Oryctolagus cuniculus: one gene and its partners. The protein of the gene in region 5 interacts with the protein of the main gene of each other region in a pairwise test. Links are inferred from orthologs where the notes say so. Each region holds a gene or a part of one and is shown on either strand. Other genes may lie near its edges.

Evidence for each region.
Region 1: the proteins of cone-rod homeobox protein (region 5) and GCM2 interact in binary tests that used the Homo sapiens proteins (3 or more experiments, as listed by UniProt). The link is inferred for Oryctolagus cuniculus from reciprocal best matches to the Homo sapiens genes CRX and GCM2.
Region 2: the proteins of cone-rod homeobox protein (region 5) and CCNC interact in binary tests that used the Homo sapiens proteins (3 or more experiments, as listed by UniProt). The two-hybrid records come from large-scale screens. The link is inferred for Oryctolagus cuniculus from reciprocal best matches to the Homo sapiens genes CRX and CCNC.
Region 3: the proteins of cone-rod homeobox protein (region 5) and M1AP interact in binary tests that used the Homo sapiens proteins (3 or more experiments, as listed by UniProt). The two-hybrid records come from large-scale screens. The link is inferred for Oryctolagus cuniculus from reciprocal best matches to the Homo sapiens genes CRX and M1AP.
Region 4: the proteins of cone-rod homeobox protein (region 5) and PPP1R16B interact in binary tests that used the Homo sapiens proteins (3 or more experiments, as listed by UniProt). The two-hybrid records come from large-scale screens. The link is inferred for Oryctolagus cuniculus from reciprocal best matches to the Homo sapiens genes CRX and PPP1R16B.
Region 6: the proteins of cone-rod homeobox protein (region 5) and QRICH1 interact in binary tests that used the Homo sapiens proteins (3 or more experiments, as listed by UniProt). The two-hybrid records come from large-scale screens. The link is inferred for Oryctolagus cuniculus from reciprocal best matches to the Homo sapiens genes CRX and QRICH1.
Region 7: the proteins of cone-rod homeobox protein (region 5) and LONRF1 interact in binary tests that used the Homo sapiens proteins (3 or more experiments, as listed by UniProt). The two-hybrid records come from large-scale screens. The link is inferred for Oryctolagus cuniculus from reciprocal best matches to the Homo sapiens genes CRX and LONRF1.

Annotation. Positions count from the first base shown.
Region 1 is NC_091436.1:159,772,604-159,776,975, reverse strand, and holds the start of GCM2 (chorion-specific transcription factor GCMb), read right to left. Parts: upstream 3,147-4,372; coding exon 3,057-3,146; intron 865-3,056; coding exon 612-864; intron 511-611; coding exon 398-510; intron 1-397. UniProt on the Homo sapiens protein: Transcription factor that binds specific sequences on gene promoters and activate their transcription. Through the regulation of gene transcription, may play a role in parathyroid gland development.
Region 2 is NC_091436.1:72,164,533-72,168,433, reverse strand, and holds part of CCNC (cyclin-C), read right to left. Parts: intron 3,238-3,901; coding exon 3,153-3,237; intron 3,001-3,152; coding exon 2,931-3,000; intron 1-2,930. UniProt on the Homo sapiens protein: Component of the Mediator complex, a coactivator involved in regulated gene transcription of nearly all RNA polymerase II-dependent genes.
Region 3 is NC_091433.1:128,320,559-128,325,201, forward strand, and holds the start of M1AP (meiosis 1 arrest protein), read left to right. Parts: upstream 1-1,478; 5' UTR 1,479-1,843; intron 1,844-4,643. UniProt on the Homo sapiens protein: Required for meiosis I progression during spermatogenesis.
Region 4 is NC_091442.1:19,949,173-19,953,073, reverse strand, and holds part of PPP1R16B (protein phosphatase 1 regulatory inhibitor subunit 16B), read left to right. Parts: intron 1-3,354; coding exon 3,355-3,480; intron 3,481-3,901. UniProt on the Homo sapiens protein: Regulator of protein phosphatase 1 (PP1) that acts as a positive regulator of pulmonary endothelial cell (EC) barrier function. Involved in the regulation of the PI3K/AKT signaling pathway, angiogenesis and endothelial cell proliferation.
Region 5 is NC_091449.1:9,969,564-9,974,011, forward strand, and holds the start of cone-rod homeobox protein, read right to left. Parts: upstream 3,150-4,448; 5' UTR 2,950-3,149; intron 2,695-2,949; 5' UTR 2,623-2,694; intron 1-2,622. UniProt on the Homo sapiens protein: Transcription factor that binds and transactivates the sequence 5'-TAATC[CA]-3' which is found upstream of several photoreceptor-specific genes, including the opsin genes.
Region 6 is NC_091441.1:100,095,095-100,098,995, reverse strand, and holds part of QRICH1 (transcriptional regulator QRICH1), read right to left. Parts: intron 2,988-3,901; coding exon 1,956-2,987; intron 1-1,955. UniProt on the Homo sapiens protein: Transcriptional regulator that acts as a mediator of the integrated stress response (ISR) through transcriptional control of protein homeostasis under conditions of ER stress.
Region 7 is NC_091433.1:77,988,865-77,993,564, forward strand, and holds the start of LONRF1 (LON peptidase N-terminal domain and RING finger protein 1), read left to right. Parts: upstream 1-1,777; 5' UTR 1,778-1,884; coding exon 1,885-2,617; intron 2,618-4,700.

The DNA of each region.
Region 1 (4,372 bases), on a different chromosome or scaffold from region 5:
GCTGCAATTCAATAAATCTACAGCCAGCTAATTTTTAAGTTGACTTTTGTATGACCATGAATGATGTTATAAAAAAGGCTCCCCTACCCCTTGAAGCTAGCCATGTGGGCCTGAGTTAATCATGCCTTCCCAAGATCCCAAGTTGTCTTTTTCCTAAATGATAGGAAAAAGAATTCTCGAATAAAATGGCATCAATAGTAGACATTTTTAAAGATTACCTGCACTCCCTTCAACCTATTAAATGAGCTATAACTATACCTTGGTCCACCACAGCCCTAAAGAAACACACAGCTTATTAACTACTGCCTAGCAGGTCCCTGGGGAGATCCAACACCCATTTCTGGCCACCGGAGCTACACTCCATGCCCATCACGAATTATAGTCTCACCTCACCTACCTGAAAAAATATGGCGCTGCCGTCAAGCCGCCAGAAATTGGTTACAGGGTACCCGCTGTGCCCTCGACAAGGAATCAGCTCCAAAGGCGAATGACAGTTGGGGCACGCCTTCTCTGCAAACCCCGGAGGGAGAGAGATTAGACCCTGGGCTCTGCGGGAAGATGGGGGAGAGGACCCACGACTCCCAGGCCGCCCCGCCCCGCCGCGCCCTCACTCTGCTGTTTCAGCCGCGCCTTGTCGCAGATGGCCGGTCGCAGCTGCAGCCGGGAGCCGTCGGGCAGGACGCAGCCGTGCGCGCACACCACCACGCCCAGGCACGACTTCTTGAGGATGTGGCCGTTGTGGTTGTTGGTGTTGCGCATGGCCCAGCCGCTCTGGTGGCGCTGCGCCTTCTTCTCGTCGCTGCTGTAGATGAAGCGCACGTAGCCGTCGGGCCACTCGCGGAAGTGGTCGAAGTGGGCTGGCTCCTGTGAAGACAGGTGCTGAACTCGGCCGGGCTCCAAGCACACGCACCGCCCTTTTCTCCAAGCCCATTAGAAGAAGAACAGGTTATTGTTCAATCCAAAAAATGTTGCAAAACACCAAACCATACCACCACAAAATGCTGCTCTTCCTGGCCTTTGGGACAAATGGCTAGTCACTGGTGAGTATACACTGCCTGTCTCCTAAACGCTACACTGTATTAATTCATCTAGCCTTTACCACATGTGCAGGCAGGAAGTACTACTCTGCCCATTTTACCCACTAGAACATGGACATCAGAGGGGTCAGTTGGCGTGGCCAAGGTCACACAGCTCACAAGACCCAGCTCTAGGATTTGTACCCCGGCACTTGGACTCCACAGCCTATGTTTCTTACCAGTTCTTGGTTTGTTTAAATGCGATTTTCAAGTGGAGTGTGAAAGTGCCAGGGTAAAAAAGGGACTGCAATTCTCTATCATGGGGATGAACTTTATCCTTGGAAAAATCTGTATTACAGCCCAGTGTGTTTTTTTTCCCAAAAGCTCTTGATGCCCTATGCCAAACCAAATGGACTTTAACATAATCAGCAATGTCTGCAGAACATCAGAGAAGCAAAGACAGCTTTCCTCTAGACTGCCAGCTTAGCATAAATTAATATACTGATTTAAGGTTAAGTCCCAAGTGATGTATTCATGCTGCTAACTCCATGTTTTTATTAAACGCGAGTATCTCTGAACATTCAACTTTAGCATCTTAGTAATAAACCAGCCACTGAGAGTATACCCTGAGTTCTGTCCTGACGGTACAGACTGAACCCCCCCTGACGGTACAGACTGAGCCCCAGAGTTCACCCAGCTACGGGGCCAGGGACACGGCAGGTGAAGACACAGAGGAGGTTATTTGAAAATCAAAACATCAGCAAAGGATTGCAGGATTGGGTTTCATTCGCTCTGACATGCTTGTATGTGTAGAGATACACACAAAGAGAACAGGACTGTAGGGCCAAGGCAGAGCTGAGATGGTTATCTAGTTCCTCCACCTGATGACAGGTCCATCTCTGAGACTAAGGCAAACTCAAGGACTCTCTCAAGGTCAGGGAGCCTGTTTAGCTTCTCCTTTGGTTAGGCAGAGCAGTGCTAGCTTGCTACGTTTCCTCTATTTTCTTTCACTATTCCAATGAGTCTGTTGCATTTGAGATGTTACACACATTCCCTACTGAAGAACCCATCTCCCAAGCAAAAGAAAATCCTTGAGAGATGAGCCATTGTTGCATATTTGGAGGTGACTCTCACCTAAAATACAAGTTCAGAATGTTTTCCATGAGGATTTATGTGGACAGAAGTCAGCAAGAACGAGACACACGTGTGGACTGTGGTCCACTTGTGCACAGATGCACAGTGCAGCACTGAAGTAGGTAGACTTTGAAACAAACTACAAAGTGCACGTCCAAAGACATGTTGCATTCCAATGAAATGCTGTTCTTCTGAACACCCATCTGGCACATAATAGAAGATAAATAAATGCTATGTCTCTTGACCCTGTGCCACCATGTTGCTGCAGGTCTACCTTCACAAATGTGTGGGGAAGCAACTCCCATGGTCCCCTCACCTGCAACCAGGACTTTTTGACTTGAACCAGCATCACCAAGGGTACTGCTCAGTTCCCAGTTCATTCTCTCTATTCCCACCCATTAAAACAAAAAATTCACCCTAAAAGAATGACTATGCTGATGGCCCCATGAGTGTAACTGTGGAGTTTCCTTCATCCAGGCAGTAGAGAATGGCTGAATAAATTGTTTCAGATTCAAGTCGCCTCCATTTACAGCCTTCTTTCACAGTTTGAATGCGAGAGAAGCAGTGGTATTTACATTGTTGAGATTCTTCCCTCAATTTCTACTGGATTTCAAATAAGTGGAGGAGCAGAGAGGCATTTGATTTCTCTCTTGGGTAAAGGAAAGTGAGGGAGTCTACTGTCTCCTGATGGCCTTTTCCTGCTGCCTTCGCTGTGTTTTGAGACAAGCGCACAAGGAAATCGCGGGGAGAAGACACAGCCCCAAACCCAGATCTATCTTTTGTAGAGAATACAGAAATTCCCTCTGCGTGTGAGGGCGCTCAGAAATGGGGGGGGGGGGGTCTGCTCACAGGGTCTCTGCCATTTCCCCTTCTCTGGATGGACCGCGCCACGCGTGCCGCTCTCACCTTGGGCATGTGCGGATCATTGATGTCCCAGGTGAGCTTCATCCCATGGGAGCACACAGGGTCCGCGTTCTGCCCGGCGTCCACCGGCATCGGTGCGCTTCGCCCGCGCTCTCCGCGCGGGATCCTGAAAGAGAAGAGAGGAGAGGGGCGCACGGCGGCTTTTCTCTCTTTAAAAGGAAAGGTGTGTGTGTGTGTGTGTGTGTGTGTGTGTGTGTGTGTGTGTGTGTGAGAGAGAGAGAGAGAGAGAGAGAGAGAGAGAGAGAGAGAGAGAGAGAGAGAGAGAGAGATAAAAATCCAGAAGCTGCGCGCTGTAGCTCGGGAGCCAGGCAGAGCCCTGTCCCCGGCTGCGGTGCTGAAGGCACTCGCCCGACCCCAGCATCCCGCACGTTTATAATCGCTCAGGTGCAGCCGCTCCGCCTTTCCTCGCCCCCCTCTGTAAAGTCACCCCCTCTCCGACAGAGCCAGGAACCGAGACATCAACGTTGAGCCGAGCCGGGAAGCCAAGGGAACCTGACGCTAAGGCGCTGGGACGGGGGTGGGGTGGAAACGTCTCATTTAAGTTGCAAACCAGTTTACTTTGAAACTCGCCCAGGCTCCGTGTTTCGGAGAGGGGCTTAGATCTAGGACTTTGGTGTGGAGCTTTTCCAGCTAAGTCCTCCGGGAGCCAGCCCTGAATTCCGGGGCAGCGCGGGAACCCTGGTCCGGGTTTGGAGCTCTTGCGGTTGGTGTTGTGCGTGTCCCGGAGCCTCTGGACTTTCGAGGGGTCACTGGGCGTTCCGTGTGCTGACGAGCCTTGGCGCGCCCAGGCCACCAAGGGCTGCAGGGGGACCTGGCCGGCGGGAAGGGAGTCCGGATGGGGACCCCGAAGGAGGCGGGCGAGATGCGCCGGAGTTAGCTGGCCAGGGCCAGGAGCTGAGCTGGGCGGGCCAGGCGCCTGAGTCGCCAAGAACCTGCGGATCTCTCTGCTGCCTGGACATCCTTCAAGCTGCAGCTTTCGTAACTGCGGGGCCGACGTTGCCAACGCTCTCTAAACACAACTGTTTAAAAATACATACTTATCGATATTGTGGCAATCTCACGACGAAATCTCACTTATTCCATCACAGCCTTGTGAGGCCCCGGGGGCCTGGAGGACCCCTGGCGAGGACGATGTGGTTCCCAGGGCTAGGACCAAGCTGTCTTCACCTATGCGGTCGCCTCACCTACGCGCCCGCAACTGAAGCGACTAAAAGCGCTGCGCTTCCAGAATTTGCTCCCTGAGCTCTTGTCTTGCTGCCCACAGTTTCCAACCCTGGTCAAAGAGAGCCGAGCGTATC
Region 2 (3,901 bases), on a different chromosome or scaffold from region 5:
GTAAATTAAATCATGCAGGGTTAGTGTTGTGGTATAATGGGTTGAGCTCATGTCTGCAATGGCAGCAGCCCAGATTGATGTTAGTTCAAGTCCTGGCTGCTCCACTTCCGATCCAGCTCCCTGCTAATACACCTGGGAAAGCAGAAGATGGCCCAAGTCCTTGGGTCTCTGCACCTATGTGGAAGACCCAGATGAAGCTCCTGTCTCCTGTCTTTAGACTGACTCATAGTTGTGGCCACTATAGCCATCTGGGAAATAAACCAGCAGATGGAAGATCTCTCTGTCTCTGTCTGCCCCTCTTCCCTTGTAACTCTGCCTTTCAAATAAGATAAATCTTTAAAAAAAATTAAATAAAAGGGGCTTGTGCTGTGGCGCAGCAGGTTAAAGCCCAGGCCTGAAGCGCCAGCATCTCATATGGGCGTCAGTTCTAGTCCCGGTTGTTCCTCTTCTGATCCAGCTATCTGCTATGGCCTGGGAAAGCAGTAGAAGATGGCCCAAGTCCTTGGGCCCCTGCACCCACATGGGAGATCCAGAAGAAACTCCTGGCTTCGGGCTCCTGCCTTCGGATTGGCTCAGCTCCAGCCATTGAGGCTATCTGGGGAATGAACCAGCAGATGCAAGACCTCTCTGTCTCTACCTCTCTCCGTGACTCTGTCTTTCAAATAAATAAGTAAGATAAATCTCTCAAAAAAATTCAATAATGAAAAAAACAACAAAATATCTAAATTAATCTATAAAGCTTATAGATGTTTAATAAGGTTTTGTTGGTATCAACAAATTGGTATCAAATACTGGTTGTGCTTGATATATAAAAATAGCCGTTACATGGCAATATTTGTAAAAAATAGACCCATATTAAAATTGTTTTATAAACATTTTCTTTTCCATTAAAGAACTTAACAGGGGCCAGCACTGTGGCATAGTAAATTAAGCCTCTGCCTGCATCCCTGCATCCCATATGGGTGCTGGTTCAAGTCCCAGCTGTTGCACTTCCAATCCAGCTCCCTGCTGATGGCCTGGGAAAGCAGTGGAAGACAGTCCAAGCACCAGGGCCCCTGCACCCAGGTGGGAGACCTAGAGGAAGTTCCTGGTTCCTGGCTTCAGATTGGCCCAGCTCTTGCTATTGCAGCCATTTGGAGAGCAAACCAAGGCATGGTATAACTGTCTATAATTCTGCCTCTCAAATAAATAAATAAATCTTTAAAAAAAAAAAGAACTTAACAAAGTCAGTTCTGCCTCCTTAAACTACCTCTAAAATTGAAAAATATTAAATCACTAAAACGTTTTCCTTAGTATTCTTTCTAATAGGGTCAATTCTCATTCTTGAGATAATAGTTGGGAGAAATGTCAGTGATAATCCTAAACAATAGCTAAAACAAAGCTAAATCAAAATGAGTACCAAAAAAAAAAATAACAATAGGCTAAAATAATATTCAGATGGGTTGGCGTTGTGGCAAGTTAAGCTACCACCTGCAACACTGGCATCCCACATTGGAATGCCAGTTTGTATACTGGCTGTTCCACTTCCAATCTAATTACCTGCTAATGTGACTGGGAAAGCAGTGGAAGATGGCCCAAGTGCTTGAGTCCCTGCCATCCATGTGGGAGACCCAGATGGAATTCCTGGCTCCTGACTTAGGTCTGACCCAACCTAGATCTTTTCAGCCACTTAGGGACTAAACCATCAGTTGGATGGCCCCGCTCTCTCACCTTGTCACTGCCTTTCAAATAATAAATCTTAAAAAAAAACCATAATATTCAAGAATATCATTACTATTATAAAGATATCTAAAAACAGAAACACAGTACAAAGGCTTTGTAATACTGAAGACTGATGAATTGGGGGCTGGAACTGTGGCATAGTGGGTAAAGCTGCCGCCTGCAGTGCCAGCATCCCATATGGACGTCGGTTCAAGATCCAGCTGCTCCACTTCCTATCCAGTTCTCTGCTATGGCCTAGGAAAGCAGCAGAAGATGGCCCAAGTCCTTGGGCCCCTGCACCCACATGGGAGGCCCAGAAGAAGCTCTTGGTTCATGGCTTCAGATCAGTGCAGCTCCGCCCATTGTGGCTATCTGAAGAGTGAACCAGCGGATGGAAGACCTCTCTCTCTCTGGTTACTCTTTCAAATAAATATATAAAAATCTTAAAAAAAAAAAAAAAACCTGAATGGATTAAAAAAACAGTTGATATCTGCTACTACTGTCTGGATTTTTGCAGAAAAGATAAATAGGGTAAGCAAAAATTCAGTCTCAGCTCTAAGTGCCTATGTTTCTTCTCTCCCTCACCTGAATTTTCTATTTCATCTGATTTTTATTTGATAGAATCTGTATAGCTGTAGCCTCTCCTAATCATTGCCATTCCTTTGTTTTCCTGATGGCTTGGTAGGCAGCCAATCACCACAAGGAAAGGAGGGAAGACAGTAGCAATAAGCATATGCGAAGGAGAGACACTCTTAGGTTATAGGAAACAAGCTAGGGCATTTATTGAATTCTACTTGTACAAAACAATTAAAAATCTTAAAGGCTGCAGAAAAAAAAAATAAGAAAATAGGAGTAGGAACTAGACTCTCACAGTTCAAAATACTAGCTCTGCGACTTACCAGTTGTACAAATACAGGCAAGTTCTTAATCTCTTTGTGCCTCAGTTCCTTCATTTATAAAGTAGGAACTCTACTATCACATATTCCATTTTTTATGAGGATTAAGTCAGTTAATACTTGTAAAAAGATTTACAAAAGCACTTGGTACTCTGTTAAGAGCCATATAAGCCCTTAAAAAATAAATACACAAATTTATGTATGTATTTCTTTGATTTTTGTGTCATTTTTGTATTTTGCTTAAATTATCATCTACTACTATCTTTAAATAAGTAATGTGACAACTGGGGCAGATTAACCAATATTGATGAAAATCAGAAAATTGTTTTATACCTCTACTTTGGATGCCAAAAACACACATGTAGGAGCCATTAATACAGGATCTATACTTTTCAGAGAATACCTAAAAATATCATAAAACAAAGTTAAGTGTCACTCATTGAAAAACACACTAAAGAAAAAATATCAAGTTAACTCTACCGCACACACGATTCATCAACATTAAATAAGAGTTTTTAAGACATCTAGTATATTCCCAAAATAAAACAGTCCTACCTGGCATAGAATCTCTTGAAATAGACCGTAGCAGTGGCAATAACTTGTTGTCTTAATTTAAGATGCTCACCTAATGCTTGGATAACTAAAAGGGAAATAGTAAAATTTTAAGTATATCTTCTGGTATCATTATTAATCTTGAACATGACTATACTCATTTTTAACAAAGGGAAAAAACCTACACATGCTATAAAGCTCCATTTGGCTCTCAGTGGTTTAGTGCAAGGATTTGCAAATTTATACAAAAATACATATATAAGCATAATGAACAAAAAGAGAGGAAAAGAAATTGCCCAAAACAAAATATATTCTTATATTAAGGAGACTGAATGATAGATACTTCCCTTCTATCTTGTAAATATTTTAATGCTTTTCATATTATCTTTACAATAAATATAAAAAGAAAATGTTCAATAAACTATAAAACTCATTCTAGCTACTACTTTATACAATTTATCAAAAAAAAAAAAAAAACCCATAATGAATCCTCAAAACAGTGAGGTAGGTTTACAGAAAAGTGAACTGAGACAAAGATCATGAGACAAAGCTATAGCACCTGTCAGTGTAAAGGTCTTTCAACTCCAAATCCCCTTTCCTACAAAGCTAGTTCTAAGATAGGAGAGACCACTATATAATATTCAACTAAAGAATTATTTACTCTCCAAGTACTTTGCTTTAGCCAAGCTTAAACTGAGTTTGATAACGAATGATAGGGAGTGGGCCTATGCAAAGTTAAGACACCGCTTGGG
Region 3 (4,643 bases), on a different chromosome or scaffold from region 5:
GGCTAATCCTCCACCTTGCGGCGCCGGCACACCGGGTTCTAGTCCCAGTCGGGGCGCCAGATTCTGTCCCGGTTGCCCCTCTTCCAGGCCAGCTCTCTGCTGTGGCCCGGGAGTGCAGTGGAGGATGGCCCAAGTCATTGGGCCCTGCACCTGCACGGGAGACCAGAAGCACCTGGCTCCTGGTGCGCTGGCAGCAGCGGCCATTGGAGAGTGAACCAATGGTAAAGGAAGACCTTTCTCTCTCTCTCTCTCTCTCTCTCTCTCTCACTGTCCACTCTGCCTATCTAAAAAAAAAAAAAAATCTCTTATAGCTAGAAGCAATAGGTGGTATAGTTTGAAGCTCAAGTTAGGCTAGCATTCAGTTTGAGTTTGAAGTAGATGGGTTTAGTTATAATGGACCTGGTAACCAAAAAGAAAACATAAGCAGTTTTTCAGCCAAATAATATGATGAAAATATTTTTACAAGTATAATTGTAAAGGATAATCAGTGTAAAGAATAATCTGGAAATTAGAGAAAGGAAGACTAATTTGGACTATGTGGGGGGAAAAAAGAGCAGTTGAAAAGTTACCCTCTCCGTTGGTACAAAGGAATTCTGTTGGACATCAGATTACAGTGTTTAAAAAGGAACATTTGGGACAGTTAGCCTACCAGTTAAGACACCTGCTCCTTATACCGCAATAGCTGGGTTTGATATTTGGCTCCAGATCCTGACTCCGGCTTCCTGCTAGCGCAGACCTTGGGCAGCAGTGTGATGATGGCTCCAAGTATCTGGGCTCCTGCTACCCACATGGGAAGCATAGATTGAACTCCTGGTTCTCAGCTTTTGCCCAGCCCGGCCATAGCCATTGTGGGTATTTGAGGAGTGAACCAGCAAAAGAGAACTCTGCGTGTCTCTAACTCTCAAATTTAAAACACCGTTTGGTTAAATAGCTCCATTTTTATCCTGAGGAGCAGTTGAAGGCAGCAAAATGGCTTAGTGGGACTAGCACACAGGCGACTTTTCCTACTGAAACATCTAAAGGGTCCTAAATCACTCATAGCAGCACTGCTCTAGTCCACCTGCAACCTGCAACTCCGCCAGCGCAGAAGGGGACAAAGAATAAATAAAGAGGGGAACGGAAGAAACAGCTTGTCCGGCTCTGGTGTGCCGCTCAATGTTATCTTTCCTCTCCTGTGGGCTAACTCAGATGAGAATTTCTATGCAGCCAGATAGACTTAAATACCCCGACCAAGCGGCTGATACGAATACGACGTTCTGATCCCCCTCTAGAGCTTGTCAAAGGGACTATGGGAATCAATTAACCTCAAGTAAATGAGAATGAGTAGAGGCGAACCAACCCTCTTGGAACGCAGGAGTTTTTAAAGAACTGGGAGTGGGCTAAACGCCAAGTTCTGCAACGGTAGGGATCATCGTGTACCCACTGCACCCCGACCCTAGCACAGGGCCTGGCACATAGTGCGCTAACCACAAACGTCTACTGAGTGAAAGGGCGGCAGGCTGAATGCGTGAATGAGTGATGCAGGAGAAAGTTAAGACCAAGAACACCACCATTCGGTAATGGTGAATGTCTTGTGAGGAGTGCAGGGTAGCTGAGGAAGGAGCGTCAGATTGAGTGCAAAATTTGCAACAGAGATGTGAGACTCTACTCAGGGGCTTACGCAGGACTGTTGGCAGGGCGTCTGCGGACTTGGGAGTCCCGGCGCTGAGGCGCAGCCCGACCTGAGCTCTGAGGCGGCCGTCAGCCCCGCGGCGCCAGCCGAGAGCAGCCCTGCCCCGCCGCGGAGGGCCTGAGGGGGGCGTCTTCGGCCGCGCCGGTGCTCGCCGAGAGCCAGGAGGACCAGGTAATGGGCTCTCTGCCCTCTCGGAGCTGGGCTCCTCCGCGTTTCCTCACGCCTCCGGGCGGGGAGGGAGCGCAGCCGGAGCGAGCGGCCGGCAGCGCCTCGCAGGCTGGGCGCGGGCCGAGCGAGCTTCCGACCTCCCCGGGCAGGTGACGGTGGCGCAGGTCGGGGCCCCGCGGGACAGACGCCCTGAGGCTCAAGCCCCGGACGCTTGGGTCGGGTCAGCCCTCCGCACACGTTCCTGAGAGCCAGGAGCTGGGCCGCCTCCCCCGTCGCACCCCGCGCCTGAGGGCGCCCTCGCAAACTCCGGGCACGGTGGGCGCGAGGCCGGGGCCCAAGAGACAGAGCGGGGCGGGGGGCGGGGGTGCCCAGTAAAATAATTTCATCTCCTTTGAAGTCAGAGGAAACCAGTGAACCCGGAAAGTTGAAGTAAATGTTTTAATTTTTTCTCATATAAGGAAAAAAAATGAAAATTTTAGAACCCACAAACGTGTATTAATTTATTATAATGTTTTTAATGCAAGGAGGGGCCCGCGAAGGCGAACTACGAAATGTTTAAGGGACTTGCCAGCGGCGGGACTCATTTATTGCAGGCCGAGGCACCCTCGGTCTGTAAGCGCTAGTCCTTGCTCCTCCTCCTTGTTAACGAGGACGCCTAATGGGGCCCGAATTTGCGCCTCGGGGACCCTGAGGGCCAGTAGGGAAAAGAACGTCCAACAGAGGGAGTCACAGCAAGAGCTTGTTTGGGGTGCGCTTGTCAGGGAATGGCCTGACCCCAGGGACGGAGAGTTGGACACAGGCCAAACTCGGGGGCCAGGGTAGGAGTTTGGATTTTGTTCCAGGTGTAATTGGAAGTCATTGGTCTTTGGTGGTTCAGGGCTGTTCCAGGTTTAACCAGTTTACAAGGGGCTACCGTTAAGCAGGGGGGTGAGTAAAAACGGAGAGTCAGTGCTAAAGCTGGTTCCTGTTTAAGTGGCAGACCCACACATGCGATGCATGAACTGACCAGGTGTGGGGAGCTAGGGAAGAGGGTGGCTGCTCACCGCTTTTAGAGGACAGTATTCCAGTTGACATTGGCTTGGGATTTGAAAATGCAAGCTAAAACTGTTCTGAGATCTTAACAATCAGTGGTGAAAATTGTAGTTGTTCTGTGACTCCTAAAAATTATTGCCAGAACACCAAGAGCTCTCTTATTAAGCTGGTTTTTAACTTTTTTTTTTTTTTTTTTGACAGGCAGTTAGACAGTGAGAGAGAGACAGAGAGAAAGGTCTTTTTTTTTTTTTTTATTTGTTTGTTTGCAAGAGTCACAGAGAGAAGTAGAGACAGAAAGAGAGGTCTTCCATCTGCTGGTTCACTCCCCAAATGACTGCAACAACTGGAGCTGTACCAATCTGAGATCTGAAGCCAGGAGCCAAGAGCTTATTTCTGGTCTCCCATGTAGATGCAGGGGCCCAAGGATTTAGGCTATCCTCTGTTTTCCCAGGCGCATTAGCAAGGAGCTGGATCAGAAGTGGACCAACCAGGAGTCGAACCAGCATTACACAGGGGATGCTGGCATTGCAGGCCAGGGCTTTAACTCACTGTGCCACAGCACTGGCTTTATTGTTTTAAGTATACAGGAAAATGTAAAACAGTAAGACTAATATGTATTTCTGCTACTGTATTTAAAACATTAGAAATACTGGCGTTTGAAGCGTTTTACTTCTAGAACTACGTTGTTGTTTTTTTTTTTTTTAAGATTTTATTTATTTCTTTGAGAGGTAGAATTAGAGAGAGAGGGAGAGACAGACCTTCCATCAGCTGGTTCACTCCCCAAATGGCCACAACAGATGGAACTGGGCCAGGATAAGCCAGCAGCCAGGAGTTCTTCTGGGTCTCCTATGTGGGTGCAGGGCCCAAGTATTTGGGCCATCTTCTGATGCTTTCCCAGGTGCATTAGCAGGGGAACTGAATCAGAAGTGCAGCAGCTGGAACTTGAACTGGCACCCATTTGGGATGCCAGCGCTGTAGGCAGTGTCTTAACCCCCTATGCCACAGTGTCGCCCACCAAGATATAACTTATGATAGAGCAAGCATATTTTCCATGCCTAGGAAATGTTATACTACTTTCCAAGTTTGGACCAGTTTCCAAAATTTTATGCTTTGTGCTTTCAATTTTGTGAACTATCTCCAAGAGCTTTTTTTTTTAAATAATAAAGTGTTTTTTGCAAATGACATTTTTTCTGGAACATCTTCATCCTTGTTGTCACAACTGTTTTTCTCATTTATGTTGTTTATGTTTGCCTTTACTGATTCCCTCTAATTGCATAGTAAGCATCTATCGAATGGTGGCAGTGTCAGCATGCTCAGTCAGCTGTTGCTTCTATGACTCCATTTATGTTCTACTCAGATTTTACTTTCCGCATTATCACTTTTTCTTTGCCTCACTTCCATTTTTGTTGGCCAATTCCCTCTTTGGATTATTGATTTTCTAGAAAAATGTCCTTTTTTGTCCTTTTTTTTTAAAGATTTATATGTTTATTTGAAAAGCAGAGTTACAGAGAGGCAGAGGTGGAGAGAGAGATCTTCCATCCTCTGGTTCACTCCCAAAATGGCTACAATAGCCAGAGCTGGACAGATCTGAAGCCAGGTGCCTGGAGCTTCTTCCGGGTCTTGCATGCAGGTGCAGGGGTCCAAGGACTTGGGCCATCTTCTACTGCTTTTGCAGGCCATAGCAGAGAGCTGAATAGGAAGTGGAGCCACCGGCACCCATATGGGATGCCAGCTCTGCAGGTGGCAACTTTACCCACTACACCACAGTGCC
Region 4 (3,901 bases), on a different chromosome or scaffold from region 5:
CAGGATGAGGCTCCTGGCTTCTAGGTTTGGTCTGGCCCAGCCCTGGCCATTTGGGATGTGAATCAGCAGATGGAAGACTTTTCTCTTTCTCTGCCTCTGCCTCTCCCTCTCTGTAATTCCACCTTTCAAATAAATAGATAAATGTTTAAAAAAAAGAAAGAGAAAGAACCTTTCCACACTTAACTGGGGCTGGGAGTCAAGAACCTTGGCTCTGCTGTTCAGCTATTTTGTCTCCAGAATCCACACTCCAGGCTCCAGGTGCTCATCTTGAGTTCATTATTTTTCTCTCCTCCAATGATGCCCCTTCGCAAAGACTGGTGACAGCGTTCACCCTCTCATCCATGCCACCTTGCCTTGCACTATCCGTTCTTCTGCCTAGCGTCTCTCTCACCCCACCACTTTGCTTCATCAGCTTTCCCTGATAGAGCTGCAACGGCCTCTCCCTGGGTTCCCTGACTTCAGTCTGTTCACCCTCAGTCATCCATCCTCCCATTGGTCCGTCCATCCAACCAACCAACCAACCAACCAACACAGTTTGAGGACTTCCTCTGTGCTACATACTCCCCTAGACCCTAGAAAGAGAATAGTAGACCCTCTTCTCCTAGGTCTGCCTGATTAACTCCATTCATCCTTGCAGCTCAAGTGTCAGTGACTTGGGGAGAGCTCGCTAGCTCCTCCTCATAGCATATTGCAGCCCAGCACTGGGGAGGGTCAGGTTCTGTAGCCGCTGAGCTGACAAGAGCATGACATGAGAAATCACCTCCCAGCGGCTGGGTGCTATCCACAGTTTGGGCTCTGTGCTGGTCACGGGCCCTCAGAAGTTCCGAGTTCTCAAACCCACCAACTAGAACTCAGTGTTAGCAAATTCCCCTCACTGCCCATCAGTCCTGAGCTGGTGGCCCAGGGGTGATAACTGAGCTTCTCTCTCTCATCACTGGGCTCTAACCTCTGCTTCATGCCCATTTCTGTTAGTTGAGTCCCTGCTTGGATCACCTGCTCAGCCCAGCACTGAAGGATAGTCTCGGATGGTGAGACTCAATGCCACTATCTGAAGTCAAGGCCAGCCTGCACCAGGGCATGGCCCACCTTGGCTGGAACTCCACTGGGTCTGTGATTGGGCTTCCTGGACTCAGGGGTCTTCTCCTCCTGCACTGGGGCTGGCTCACCCACATGGACCTGGCACATCTGGGTCTCAGGTCTTCCCCTTAAACTGGAGATCACCGTATCTTACTCTGAGAGCTGCTGGGAAGGTTCAGTGAGATTCTGCGTGTGAGTGCTTAGTACCGAGTCTAAACTCTCGGGATGTCAGCCGTGGTCACCATTGTTAATAATAGCACTGTTCCACTCATGCCATTTATTTATTTGAAGGACAGAGTTACAGAGAGGCAGAGAGAGAGAGAGAGAGAGAGAGAGAGAGAGAGAGAGAGAGTCTTCCATCTGCTAGTTCACTCCCCAAATGGCCATGATGGCCAGAGCTGAACCAATCTGAAGCCAGCAGCCTGGAGCTTCTTCAGGTATCCCATGTGGGTGCAGGGGCCCAAGCACTTGGGCCATCCTCCACTGCCTTCCCAGGCCACAGCAGAGAGCTGGATCAGAAGTAGAGCAGCCAGGACTCCAACCAGCACCCATATGGGATGCAGGCACTGCGGGTGATGGCTTTACCTGCTATACCACAGCACCAGCACCCCCTCATGCCTTTTTATTCCCAGCCAAGTATTGAGGCTCTGCAATCTGTGATGTCCGTCTGGTCATCCAGGTATCATTCGTCACAACTAGCAAGCATCAACTTTTATATATCAGCTAATCAGACTAATTTTCATGTCTGCCTGTATCCCACCATGCCCTAGATTTACTCTGCCAATTTTTGGTATATAAAAAGGTTAGAACCTGATAGCACCCTTCTGTCAGGGTGAGTGAGGGAGCATCTGACTACTAGGCTATGCCCACTCTGCCTCCCTGGACCTGAGCCCACTTGGCGTTCTCCTCCCACCTTGGCTGGGCAGTGGGTTTCTTTGCCTTGTCTCCTCTGTCTGCTTGTGTTCTTGGTGCACCTTGTCATTACTTGGGGCTCCCTGGACTGTTCATCATGCAGTGAGTGCTCATCAGGTGCAAATCCTCTTACGCATTTTCTGGGCGATTGAACAAGTGGGACAACTAAGGTCTGTTAGTTGTCAGTGACTGGAGCCCTTGAGTGGGGTCAGGGAGAAGGGTTGGACCTCTACGTGGGGCTTTCCTAATTGGGTGTATTAATTATCTATTGTTGCCTAACAGACTGCCCCACCATATAGCTTAACTGGGTGGCTCTGGTTTGGCCCCTCTCATGAGACTGCAGTCAAGGTGTTTGCTGGGGCTGAAGTCTCATCTGAAGGCTTGATAGGAGCTGGAGGACTCCCTTCCAAGGCGGCACACACCCACACAGCTGACGCGCTGGTGCAGGCCATAGACACGGGCCTCTGTTTCTTGCCTCCTTGGTATCTCTCCTTGGGGCTGCTTGAGGGTCCTCACACCATGGTCACTGCCTCCTGCTGGATTGGTCCAGGATGGCAGGAGGTAGAGAGAGATGCCTTCTATTCCCTACCCTCAGAGATGACATACTGCCACTTTGTAATGTCCCATTCGTTAGAAGTCAGACCCGCATTTGAGGGGAGAGCAATCGGGCTCCATCTTTGAAAGGAAGTATTTGCACATGTGCTTTAAAACCACCAAAGTGTGGCCGGCGCTGCAGCTCACTTGGCTAATCCTCCGCCTGTGGCGCCGCACCCCAGGTTCTAGTCCCGGTTGGGGCGCCAGATTCTGTCCCGGTTGCTCCTCTTCCAGTCCAGCTCTCTCTTGTGGCCCGGGAAGTCAGTGGAGGATGGCCCCCAAGTGCTTGGGCACTGCCCCCACATGGGAGACCAGGAGGAAGCACCTGGCTCCTGGCTTCAGATCAGCACAGTGCGCCAGCCATAGCAGCCATTTGGGGGTGAACTAATGGAAGGAAGACCTTTCTCTCTCTTTCTCTCTCTCTCACTGTCTAGCTCTGCCTGTCAAAAAAAAAAAAAAATCAAATGTAAAACCACCAAAGTGGATCTCTGAGACCCCTTCTGCAGGGCCTGGTACACAGTAAGAGCTCAATAAATGCTGTTGCTTTAGCTACATGGGCTCTAAAATCAGCCACAGGGGAGAAGAGCTCAGCTCTCTGCTTCCTCCTCTAGATCCATATTTCAGACTTAATCCTCAGTTATGTGGCTGGTATTTCTACCTCATTGTATTCTATTCTGCCAGCCCCAAGGAAGCTCTAGGATCTGGGTGGAAATCCACTTCCAAATGTGGGGCCAGCCCTCTAGGGAGTGCTCCTTCTTCCCTCTCTTCCAGCTGCACATCGCTGGAGCCAACGGATACCTGCGGGCAGCTGAGCTCCTCCTGGACCATGGAGTGCGTGTGGATGTGAAGGACTGGGATGGCTGGGAGCCCCTGCACGCAGCTGCCTTCTGGGGACAGGTAGTCCCTGCCGACAGGGCCGTGGGGGAGGCCAGCACAGGGTTCCCACCCACAGGGCTGGGGAATGGGGAGGCCAGCACAGGGTCAATCTGCTGTCGCTAAGTCCTTTGAGTTCACAGTCGGTTCAAAAGAACATAAGGCCCAGAGAGTTTGCAAAAGCATTAGACAGTCTGCGTCCCTGTAGGATGAGACTTGAATTTGCCAAGTTAGAAAGTTCCCCGCATTTCTGTTCTGAGCAGTTTCTCTATTTGTTTCCCAAATATGATTACACTTTATGCAGTTCCTCCCCAGATACTTGACGGCCGTACAGTCACAGCCAGCTCCTTCTTCTCTCCCACCTTGGCATGGCCCAAGAATGCTAGAGGAGTTGCCAAGTGCATGGTACCCTTTAGGATTTCCTCCATATCTCCAGCCTTCAAGG
Region 5 (4,448 bases):
CCTGCATGGGAGACCAGGATAAGCACCTGGCTCCTGGCTCCTGCCATCGGATCAGCGCGGTGCGCCGGCTGCAGCACGCCGGCTGCGGCGGCCATTGGAGGGTGAACCAACGGCAAAAGGAAGACCTTTCTCTCTTTCTCTCTCTCTCACTGTCCACTCTGCCTGTCAAAAAAAAAAAAAAAAAAAAAAAAACAAACTGGATGCTCTCAGAGTTTCATGAACTGGGGAGAAAATAAAATGGGGTGATGCGACGGTCCCAGTGTTGGGGGACAAAGATGAAACCCCCAACTGGGTCAGTCCTGGACGGAGAGGATCCCAGCAGTAGGGACAGCAGGTGCAACGGCCCGGAAGCTGGAATCACTTGGTCCAGTGTGACCAGAACCAATCACAGGGCAGAGAGGAAAGATCTAGGAGGAGCTGCGGGGGCGTCCTGGGGTAGAAACGCATAGAAACAAACCAGCAGCAGAGAGCAGTCCACCCTGATGGCCACACCCTGCGGGGACCCCTGTGGGTCGGCAGGGGCTGCAGTACCTAACCAAGAATGCTGGGGACCTGGCAGAGGGCAGCCCCCAGGGAAAGCGGAGCTGGCTGCCGCCTTAGGAGGAGGCTCAAGCAGCCAAGTGGGAGATCTATGCCTGCTGCCCACCGCCTTGCAAGCTTGCAACACTTTGTTACCTTTCGTAGCAATTCAAACAGCCCCAGGAAACTGGCATTCCAGCCTCCCCCTGACCTCCAAGCAGGAAGTACCTTGTCACACAGCCCTGGGAGGCAGGGACCCCATCGCACTCCAAAAGTTGTGCTCAGGCCCAGCGAGGCCCTCTGGGGACCCCGGATTCCACCCCTGCCTTCTCAGCCCCTCCATCCGCCTCCCCTCTGCTGTCTCCCACTTTGCAGAGGAGAAGTGTTTGCTATGAACCCCAAGAGAGCATGGGAAGAGGGAGACTCGGGAGGACCCCGCAGTGGGGCAGGAGGACCCTGCTGGTGTCCCCAAAAGCCTGGACTTCCCATGAGGACAAGCCCATCCTACAGGCAGGATCCCAGGGGAGGAAGGCGCGTGCCCAGGGCCAAGCAGCAGCATGTGGGAACCCAGGGTTGATCTGTTCGCTAGGCGTGGATGAAGCCACGAAGACGGGATGTGACAACAAATGACAAGCAAGAAATGAACTCGGAAGGGCCTCCCTGGAACCTCCTGAGAGGAGTGGGCGGCAACACGAGCACCCCAGGAATTGTCAGCCAGGATCTCAAGCGGCTGATTCCGGCTGTGTCTGGGAACTGACCATGGTCCTGACAGCGCCCCCTGCCCCGCTGCATTTCAAGGCCCCAGGGCTGGTGGGAGGGACGGCAGCACCGGCCAGGGGCCCCGCGTCCACCTGAGCGCTCACCCCCACCTCCTGGGCAGGCCTGCAGTGACCCCATTCTGCATGGAGGGGTCTCTGAGCCTGCTGGGGAGGAGGATGCCCACCCTAGTCCAGGCATTGGATAACAATAAGGACGTCCCAGCGTTCCCAGCTATTCAGTCCCTGCAGCACGGCCTTGGGAACAAGACATCGGGGGACAAGAACCTGGGGGAGGAACTGCCTACGAGGCTGCTCCTGGCATCAGCCCCAGTATACAGAGGGGCAAATTGAGGCTGGTCCCATGACACACACAGGCCAGCAGCTGGGCCAGCGCCCCCTGAGCCTATACCCACCTTGCTCTCCCCCAGTCCCCCAGAGCCCAGGGGTCCCAAGGCCACATGGGTGGTAAGTGGCAGAAGCAGAGAGAGAACCCAAGTCTCTCAGGACCCATCGTTGTCCCCCAAACCTACCTGGGGTCCCAGGAAGCAGGATGAGGCCACCCCGCCCCTCCCCTGGCCTGTGACCCCAGCCTCCCTCAGCTCCTCCGTCACCAGCCCCACCTTGCAAAGGAGGAGACCGGAGCCCAGGGAGGCCACACCCAAAGGGCTCCATGCCCACCCTTGGCAAGGGGCCCCAGCTCGGCTGTGTGCCCCCCCATACGATCTCTGCAGCCCCCGAGGGCTCCTCTGTCCTGGGTCCCCAGGGAGCAGGAGAGACCAGGAGCTGGAACCTCGGAGGGGATGTGGCACGGCCGGAGCCGTTAGGCGTGGCAAGGTCCCCAAGTAATGAGGTCACCAGCCTCATGGCTCCCAAAGCATCCCGGCCCCTCGGGCAGTCCCCCCAGGGTCCCCACTTAGCAGAGCCCGAGAGCCCGGCCCCGCGTGCACGCGTCGCTTCCTTTCTGTCTTTCCCTGTCCATCCATTCACACCCTGGCAAATCCCCCACCACACAGCAGGCACTGGGAAGAAATCAGGGGTCAGAGAGAGAGAGAGAGTGGGAGAGGCAGATGCCCAGAGAAGAAAGTTCCAGGCAGCAGTGAGACTTCTCAGGAACACCCCGCAGGGGTGCAGAGGGGCTGTCTGGGAAGGACGGCCAGAAGCCCTCACCCCTGCACCCTCCATCCAGGGCCCCTGCGTGTGCCCAGGGCCAGTCCCCGCCCTCTGCTGTGTACCTGCCCAGTCCGCCACCCCACAGACCCAGCCAGCCGGGAACAAGGGGAACTCGGCCCCGGCCCCAACCCCGGCCCCCGCCGCAGTGCCCTCTGCCTCTCCTGCACTCGCTCACCTTCCGAAGGCAGGGACCGACCTGGCTGCCCTGGTGGCCCAGGTCCCGCACACGGCACAGGAGTCACCCAGGCTGCAGAGGCAGAAGGAAACAGGTCCCCACCCGCCGGGTGATTTTAAGCCCCGGAGCCGGGAGTGATGTCACACGCTGTGGCCTGGATCCCGGGGGGGTAATCCCTGCCGCCGAGCTGGGGCACCCACTGGGCACCGGGAGGTGACATTGGCTAGGAGGGGGAGGGGCACCCATCTGCCTAAGTCCCCTCGCCCCTCCCCCGACATCTTGGCAATTAGGGCTAATGGAGATGTGGGGGGACAGTCCTGCACCTGCCTGTGACCAGAGCCTCCACCCCTCGGGAAGTCCTTGCTTGGGTCTGACTGGTGCCCGTCCGGCTTTAGCTTTGTCACAGAGGGACGCAGCAAAGATGGACAGAAACACAGGGCGCTCCTGAGAGATTGTGGGGAGGAGGAGGGGCCCAGGGCTCTCAGCACCCACTCCTGGGTGCCCCCGTGCCTCCCCAGCCGCCCATCTCCCCATTGCCACACTGTCCTCTGCTTTCTGCCTCAGTTTCCCTCTTATGCTTTCCTTGCCTTGGCCTCACGCTGGTCCCTGACCTCCGCGTCCTCGCTCTCCCGCCCACGCTCCCGTTCTCGCTCGATTTGTGTGGGGCCTCTGTGCCTCAGTGTCTCTTCCTTCGGGCCCCAGGCTGTGCCTTGTGTGCTGATTGGCCCGTGCACCCCTCGCTCTCCCCCCACCCTCCTCTGTCTTTATGGGCCCACTTCCAGGACCCACTTGCTCGAGTGCTCGGGCACTCTCTATGCTGGTATGTGTGTGTGTGTCTGTCTGTCTGTCTCTCCCCACACACACCCTCCGCCGCCCTCCCTCCCCTCCCCAGCTGTCTCTCCCTCGGCCTCAAGGACCCGCCCTCATTTTGCTGGATCCCTGCCTGTCCCCCTCTGCCTGGGGCTCCAGCCTGGTCTCAGCCCCTCTGCCCTCGGCCGGGCAGACCTGTGTCCCCCACATCCAACCCTGAACCTGCCCCTCTCTTCCTCCCTGCCTCTGCCTCCCTCACTCCCCAGGCCCCTCCCTCTGTGTCCTCCCTGGGGTTGGGGGGGGGCCTCTTGCTGACTCGCTCCCTCCCGGGTTCCTTGCCTGGTCTCCCTCTGCACTGTCTCACTCTCTGTCTCTGGATGTTAACATCTCCCTGGGCTCTTGTCCCCACGTGGGTCTGCTCTACTTTCCCCAGACCTCCAAACAGGCATAGAAACACACACACACACGCAAACACAAACCCACATGGAACACACACAGGCAAACACAAACCCACATACAAAGACACTCAGGCATGCATGCAGGCACACATGAGCACACACACAGGAATCCCTCCTCTGGCGGCCACTGTACCTCACCATAAGGAGCCCTATCTCCACCCCCCCTTCTTCCATGCCCCCTGCTGGGAGAGATTAAGGCCAGCTGGGGAATCAGGGCAGGTCTCATTAGCCTGAAGAGCCAGGGTGACAGACAGAGAGGGAGGGGCCCCTGGCCCTCAGGGACCAGTCAGGACGTCCTGATGGGAGAAGCCCATCCCAGGACAGACCCTGCTGCCCCCCTCCGCCACGGCCCCCAGAGCAGGGGAGGGGGTGGCTCTGCAGGAGATGGAGACAGGACAGATGGGCCCATGGAGGAGGGGACTGAGCTGTCAGTCAGCTCCCGCTGGCAAGCTGCCAATCAGCAGTGCTGCTAGAGTGGGTTGGAGAAGTGGGCTCAGGAGGCCCCGTGCCCTGGCCCCAAGGGGGTCAGTCCAGGGAAGCTGGAGCAGAGTGCTTTCT
Region 6 (3,901 bases), on a different chromosome or scaffold from region 5:
GCCCGTATAAGATGCTGGTGTTGGCCGGCGCCGCGGCTCACCAGGCTAATCCTCCGCCTAGCGGCGCCGGCACACCGGGTTCTAGTCCCGGTCGGGGCGCCGGATTCTGTCCCGGTTGCCCCTCTTCCAGGCCAGCCCTCTGCTGTGGCCCGGGAGTGCAGTGGAGGATGGCCCAGGTGCTTGGGCCCTGCACCCCATGGGAGACCAGGAGAAGCACCTGGCTCCTGGCTCCTGCCATCGGATCAGCGCGGTGCGCCGGCCGCATCGCGCCGGCCGCGGCGGCCATTGGAGGGTGAACCAACGGCAAAGGAAGACCTTTCTCTCTGTCTCTCTCTCTCTCACTGTCCACTCTGCCTGTCAAAAAAAAAAAAAAAAAAAAAAAGATGCTGGTGTTGCAGGCGGCAGCTTAACCCACTATGCTACTACACAGCCCCTACTCCATGCTTTTTGTTATTACTTTATTTCTTTGAGAAGTAGAGTTACAGAGAGAGGGAGATAGAAAGGTCTTCCATCCACCAGTTCACTTCCCAAATGGCTGCAAAGTCTGGACTGAGCCAATCCAAAGACAGGAGCTTCTTCCAGGTCTCCCATGTGGGTGAAGGGACCCAAGCACTTGGGCCATCCTCTACTGCTTTCCCAGGCCATAGCAGAGAGCTGGATCAGAGGAGGAGTAGCCAGGACTAGAACTGGTGCCCATATGGGATGCCAGCACCGCAGGCAGAGGCTTAACCTACTATTCCAGAGCGCCAACCCCTACTCCATGCTTCTCATTCAGCTTCCTGTTATAGTGTCTGGAAAGTAGCAAGTGATGGCCCAAGTATTTAGGTCTTTACCACCCACATGGGATATAAGGATAGAATTCCTGACTCCTAGTCCTTGGCTGTAGTGGGATTTGAGGAATGAACTAGCAGATAAAAGGTATGTCTTTCAGTCCCTCCCTCCTTATCACTCTGCCTTTCAAATAAATCCTAAAAAAAAAAAAAAAAAAAAAAAAAAAAAAAAGAGGGGCTGGTGTCATGATGCAGTAAAGATAAGCCACACCAGCATCCTGTATCAAAACTGCAAGTTCTAATCCTGGATATTTTGCTTAAAATCTAGCTTCCTGCTAATGCGTCTGTGAGGGCGGTGAATGTGGGCCCAAGTGCTTGGACCACTGCCACCCACATGGAAGACTAGAGCAGCATTCCTGTCTCCTGGTTTCTGCCTGACCCAGACCCAGCTGTTGGGGCCAGGTGGTAAGTGAACCAGTGGATGGAAGATCTGTCTCTGTAGCTCTGCCTTTCAAATAAATTTAAAAAAAAAGCCAACACAATCCTAACAACTTTTCTATAAAACTAAAATCATTCCAAAATAAATGTCAAAAAAGGTTTGTCAGCATAGCTGCCATGTCAAAAAGCCCCACAATCAAGGGTTAACTTATGTTCAAAGATGACAGAAACATTCTGGAAGGTCTCTGTGCATAGGTACCTTACGCAACACTCCTGAAGGTGGTCACTTGTAACACACCCACTAGTAAGTACATTAGGTCTTCTAATTCACCTAAATTGATTCCAAAGACGACAAGTAGAGAAGGAACGACCTCAGCCCTTCTACTGTAGTGAATTTACAGTTTGTGTGCTCCGTAAGTCATTCACATATGATGCAAGAGAGTAGATTCTAGGACACCACTAACATTCAGGGTGCCCACCTGTAAGTTTACTCTTAAGACAAGATTACACAGTACCTGAGGCACTTAACCCCAAAGCCTCAAAGCAGTTACTGGTCATTTCATTTACTTCCAGGATCAAATTCTTACCAATTATACTACCTCATTTGCTACTTCTCCCAAATACTGAGTAGTGTTTCACTGTAAGATTAACATCATGGCAGTAAACAAGGCAGAGGTTGCCATGCAAACTCTCTGCTGTTCTGGGCCCTGAGGGAGCAGGCAGCCCTACAGGTAAAGTCTCACTTACTGAACAAGTAACCTGGAGCTGCTGCTGCTGCTGTTGCGGTGGCGGAGTCTGTTCCTGGGGAGTTTGCTGTTGTGGTTGCTGCTGTGGGTCCCATATATGGACAGTCTGAGCCGTATTCTGGTACGTGCCTGCCACAGCCTGCACAGCCACTGGAATGTGGATGTTGCCATTCATGAACTGTGCTGGAAAGAGAGAGTTTGCAAGGGTCTGCACTACCTCTTCATGGGAGTTTTTCACTACAGACGTGGTGCCCACCATCTTCTCCTTGTCATCCTCCAGCTTTACAGCTGCCAGGGCCGTGGGTGAGCCACTGACGTGAACTGCGTTGTAGGCTTCTTGGGGAATGGCAATGTGGGTAATGCTCTGTTGTTGAGGGTCCCCCCGGGGCTGGGCAGAATAAACAGGGATGGTCCAGGTTTCTCCTGTAGGGCTAGTAATGGTCCCAGTAGCACTGTACAAGTGGGCACTGTCTACTGTCAGTAAGTCTGGCCTCAAAGACACATAACTCTGCTGCTGGCCCTGTGGAATGGCCAGCACGGTGGCCACCGGCTGCCCTGAGATGGCGTAGGACACAGTGATGGGCATGTCCACTTTGCGCTTCTTCACTGGCTGGAGGACACTGGCCGTGCCAACCCGCCGCTCCCCTTCCCGGGGTGAGCCCTGCTGGGATGATGGTGGGGAAAGGGCACCCACAGTCTGGATTTGGATCTGCTGACCCCCAGCAAGAGACTGGCCAGCCACCAGCTGAGCCTGGATTTGCTGATGTGGGATGTGCTCTTCCGGGATTTCTGCAGCCTGGATCTGCTGGGCCGCCTGCACGTGCTGCACCTGGATCTGGGCCGCTTGCAGCTGCGAGGGACTGGGGCTCTGCAGAGACGGGGTCTGGATGGAGGGGGCTGCTGACTGCGGTGCCTGGCCCTGGATCTGCACCTGGACCTGGACGGGCTGCTCGGCAGGCTGATGAACGGTGAGCTGTGGGGAGAGTTGCTGAGCCAGGACCTGCTGCGGAGACTGCTGTACCTGCACCTGTACCTGTAGCGACAAGATTTACCAATGAGTGAGACAGGCAACATAGAGAAACCAGCCCTCCCAGGGGAAAAAGATTTCAGGTGGAGTCCCTGTGTAATCTGAGGAAGGGCTACCATACCCAAGCTTCTGAGGAAGCCATAATTCCCAAAATAATATGCAAAATTCTACAACATAACACTGACACATATCCAATCCAGAGAGTAAAAAAAGAAATACAGGGGCTTGGGCCAGCACCGTGGCTTAGCAGGGCAAGCACTCGCCTGTGGCACCAGCATCCCATATGTGCAATGGTCCAAGTCTTGGCGGCTCTAATTCTTATCCAGCTCTCTGCTGATGGCCTAAGAAAGCTGTAGAAGATGGCCTAACTACCTGGGCCACTGTACCCATGGGTGGCTTTGGATTGGCACAGCTCTAGCCTTTGCGGCCATTTGGGGATTCAACCAGCAGATGAAGACCTCTCTGTAACTCTGCCTCTCAAATAAATAAATAAATCTTAAAAGAAAAAAAAAAAAAGACAAAGAAATACTGGATGACTCTCTGTCTCTCCCTCTCAAATAAATAAAACCTAAAAAAAAAAAAAAAAAAAAAGGCGCCAGCGCCGCGGCTCACTAGGCTAATCCTCCACCTAGCGGCACCAGCACACCACGTTCTAGTCCCAGTCAGGGCGCCAGATTCTTTCCCGGTTGCCCCTCTTCCAGGCCACCTCTCTGCTGTGGCCCGGCAAGGCAGTGGAGGATGGCCCAAGTGCTTGGGCCCTGCACCCCATGGGAGACCAGGAGAAGCACCTGGCTCCTGCCTTCAGATCAGCGTGGTGCGCCGGCTGTAGCGCGTCAGCCGTGGCGGCCATTGGAGGGTGAACCAACGGCAAAAAGGAAGACCTTTCTGTCTCTCTCACTGTTCACTCTGTCAAAAAATAA
Region 7 (4,700 bases), on a different chromosome or scaffold from region 5:
CAAACACGAATCATAGCCATTCACAAATGCCAAGGAGAGCTCAGCAAGATTCCTCCCACAGTCCCAACCTCCCCTCCCTGCCCTGCCACAGTCCCAGTACCATACTAATTGTGCCATTTTATTTCACATCCGAATCAGATGTGGTTATTTGTCCTATCTGTCTATTAGGGAATGAAACTCCAAAGGACAAATGATATTTTTCATGATTTTCTGAACCACACATTTTACTTTGAGGGGAAATCCCAGAATGGATTTAAACTAGTGTTGAAAAGACATCTGAGTGTTTATCAATTCGCTCAACTCACTGTATGATCACGATCACATTTATTAGCTGTTTACCACTGCACGTTTGGCAAGCTGCTGTTACGGACAAGAATGCATCCCGTAAGTCAAAGGGCACGTGCATAGGGATACTCAGTCTTTGGGATTTGTAGCTTCAAGCTGGTCTGTGGGCATGTGACTCAAGTCATCGTTCTGCTGGCTGAGAGGTCGCAATTCAGGGGGATTAGGATTGGATTTAAGTTCATGCCTGTGAATACACACCGAACAATTAGGCCACGGGGCTTGGATCCCACTACAACTTGCTGTAGGCGCAATGTAAATGAAAAGTGACCTTGTGTGTCTCTGCACCTTGTGTGTCTCAGTATTTTCTCGGTCAGCTTTTTGTTCATTCCCTTTTGGGGAATGAATCTATAACTATTATCAATACCATAACATAGCAGTTAAATCCTCTCTCTTCATTACTTGTGTGAATTCGGACAAGTAAACTTTTCTTTTCCAACCGTCTGCAAAGTAACTAAAAAGTTTTAAGTCTCTTCCAACATTAACAACCCAGAACCCTATATTCAAAACTATAAATATTTTCAATTGAGAGTTTTACACTCGCTGCTGTCAACTTCCAGGAAGTATAACCCATTACCTACAAGTGGGATCATTTCTTTTTGTTCTGTCTGTAAAGCTGCAGACCCAACTCGGGATGTAGGGAGAGAGTACCTGCCGTGGGCAAGGCATCTTTCCTTGGGGAATACAGACTTCCCCCAGCTGGAAGGGGGATACAGCCGGCACCCCAAGAACCCGCGAGCTAGGAAATGAGTTTTGAACTGGAAAGGCCGCGGCCACTTGGCACCAGAAAAAACTGGAGGGAGCTGCGGACTTTTGCGTTTGTGTCTAATGTAGACCGACGGTAGTCGAGTCACGAAGTCGTCAGACGGCACTTGTCGCGGGCCCGCCACCTCTGTAACCTGAGGCATACACCTAAGACGCCACCCTGCACCTGACGACCCGGACTCCGCGCAGGGCGAGGGCGCAGGTCCCCAGCCCGATGGGGCAGTGCGTCGGGGGAGCGCGGGCGGCGTGGGCCTCCGTCCCGCGAGGAGGGGGTCCACTCAGCACAGCAGCGCCCACCGAGCAGAGGCGAGGGAGGGGGCCGCTGCAGGCGGGGTCGTCGGCGGGGAGGCCAGCCCCGGGTGGGTGATAAAGGATCCTTCGGGCTTTGTTTAGTAACACGCCAGGCCCTGCTCTCCCGAGAAACCAATTAGATCCCCGCTGCGGGATCATCTGACCTGCGTCCCCCACCCGCAGGGGGCTCGGAAGGGGCGGGGCTAGGCGGGGCCGGGCCGGCGACTCCTCGGGAACGCGGCCGCGGGTGGTGCGGGGGAGTCCCGAGCGCTGGACCCGGACCTGGGCCCGCCCCTCGGCAGAGGCCCCGCCCCACGCAGGCCCCGCCCCCGGGGCTTCCCGGGCGCGCGCCGCCCCGCCGTGTCCGCGCGCCACGCCCCCCTGCTCGCGGGCCGCGTGCGGAGCCGCGCGCCCCGTAGGCTCTGGGACCGTGGCGGCGGGCGGCGGCGGCGGCGGCGGCGGCGGCGGAGCAGCCGTCCGCGGGCCATGTCTTCTCCGGCCGTGGCGAGGGGCTCTCCGGGAGGGAGTCGGGAGACGGCCCTCAGGCCCCGGAGCCGAGGCCGGTTTTGGGAAGTGGGCGGCGGCGGCGGCGGCGGCGGCGGCGGCGACCAGCTGGAGCGCGCGGCCGCGGAGTCGGAGCGCTGGGAGCTGCTGCTCCGCCGCGGCGAGCTGCTGGCGCTTGGCGGCCACCTGAAGGGAGCGCTGGAGGCGTACGCGGCGGCGCTGCGCCGGGGGGCCCCGGTCAGGCCCGAGTGCCTCGGCACCCTGGTGGACTGCCTGGTGTTCAACTACCGGCTCCGCCACGGGCTGGGCTGGAGCGCGGCCCCGGCTGCCGGCGCGGGTGCGGGCGGGCTGCTCAGCTGCCTGGGCTGCCGCGGCTTCCTCAGCGAGCCGGTGACGGTGCCCTGTGGCCATAGCTACTGCCGCCGCTGCCTGCGGAGAGAGCTCCGCGTCCGCTGCCGCCTCTGCCGGGACCGGCTGCCGCCCGCCGCCGTCGCCAGTGCCGCGGGTGCTGAGGGGACCGGCCCGCGGCCGCCGCCTCTGGCCGCCGCCATCGCGGCCTCGGACTTCAGAACCAGCGTCGTCCTCAACCACCTGGCCGAGAAGTGGTTCCCGGGTCAGCGCGAGCGAGCCCGGGCGGCCGGCCGGCTCGGGGAGCTGCTGCTTCAGGGGCGCTACCGGGAGGCCCTGGCCGCCGCCTGCGAGGCGCTGCGAGCAGGTGACGGCGCGGGGATGCGGCGCGGGCCCGACCGACCCCACCCTCCTTTCCCGGGCGGGCCGGGTACCCAGAGCGGGTCTGCGCCCTGGGGCAGGCTCGCCCTGCTTCCCCGGGGGCCGCTGGGCACTCGGCGTGCGGGATCTCGGGGTGCTCGAGGGTGTGGGAGGGGGCGGCGCCCGGGGTGCTTCGGTCACAATGGGGATCGCCCTGGGAGCCCACTGTGACGCGGCGCGGGGAGGGGCGCGCGGGCGCGGGGTTCCCTCGGCCGCGGCCTGGCGCTCGGGCGCGCGCGCGTGCGGCGCGGAGCTGCGGGCCCCCGGGCCGGAGGCCGCCCTGGCGCGGGATGGGTGGGAGCTGGGGGAGCCCGAGCGGCCGCCCGCTTCCTGCCGCGCTCTTTCCGGGAATTGGCGGCTCGGGCCCGGCAGGGCCGGGCCACCCCGGGGGTGGGAGACGACATCGCGGCGGGGCGGGGATCCCCAGCCGAGGTTGGGCGGGCTAGGTCTACCTTCCCGACCCGCAAAAGTCACCGGGGCAATTGGAAGCCGCGGGAGGGCAGAATTGCATAAGCTGGGGTGGAGGGGCGTTGTGTAACGGGTGACGTCCGGTGGGCGTGGCGGGAGCTCGGCGCCCGCACCCAGTGCCGCGAGGCCCCTCCGGCCGCGGTGGTCAGCTCCTACCTGGAAGTGCCCGCGGAGTGGGTGCATCTTGAGGCGTCCACCTGCTCTTCTCAGGTCACGCCGGTTTCATTGTGCTGACTCCGGAATACGCCCAGCCCAGGGCAGGGATGCAGAGGTAGTCTCTAACCCAGAGTTACCGCCTCGCTTCCGTTCGCCTTTCCACTTAAGATCGAGCCCAGGGGGAAAGGCCGTGTAGGGCTTTTGTCTCTTCCTTTGTCTCCAGGACGCACCCTCGGCTTCCCAACTTCAGTTAGCACTTTTCCCAAGGCGGTTTTACATTGTGCCAGACGCGCCTGTAAAACTTCCGTTAGAAAAAATGAAGTTCTTGGATCAGTTCTTTTACTAGGGGGGGGGTTTCACTACCCCCTCCCCAAGGACATTATCCAGGGCAACATATCTGGCAGTGTCTAGGGACATTTTTGGTCCCCACCTCTTGTAGGCGTGATGCTGGTCCCGGCACTGTGGGCACTGTGCGGCTGACCTGCCACCGCCAAGAATGCAGGCCCCAGACGACCATCAGTGGCACTGTGGGCGACACTTGTATGAAGTGGATTGCAAGATTTTCATGTCGCTGTGTTGGCAGGAAATAATGCTTGGGGGAAATAATCCCCAAGGAAATAGACATGAAATATTAAACTGACTTTGGGTGTTAGGTAAGTTTAGACACTGTGGAACTGAAAATACCCTCCTGTGGGTGCTTAGTCATATTGAACCAGTGACAGTGTCTTGAGTTATTTAGAACCTTCAGAGTTCACAGCACAAACTTGCCATGTTTTTGAGGCCTTTTAGTGTGTCTGTGGAGGAGGCAGTTGTAAAATATGGTAATAGTCTCAGAACAAAAGGAAAATAATTGGGTATTAAATTCTGATACACCTGACTGCCTCTTGTGGGCAAATAAGCCAGAATTGGCTGGATAGAACACCTATCACAGACCATGTGAGAAAGCAAGGGCTGGAGCAGTGCAGTGACTTGCCCCAGTCACACAGCTGGCTGCTTGGAGAGGCAGCTGTGTGTCCCTTTCTAAAGTGGGCCTTGTGTTCATCTGGTCTTTATAGGTCATCCACTCAAGTGCTCATGCACATTTCCCAGGAGGGTTTTCTATCACTAGTATAAAATAGAGGATAAAACTCACCAACAGCACTATTCAGTATCTACGCCTGACATGGTGATATGACATTCTTTTAAATTAGGTTCTTTATAAGCTTTGAGGTCCTATTCCTTGGAAGAATAGTGAACACATTACAGATTTAAGTCTAGCTTCATGTTCTGTGACTAATATTTTTTTGAAAGTTTATTTTGTTTATTTGAAATGCAGAGTGATAGAGACAGAGTGAGCCCTTCCATCCTCTGGTTCACTCCCTAAATGCCCTCAGCAGCTGGGGGCTGAAGTCAGGAGCCAAGAACTC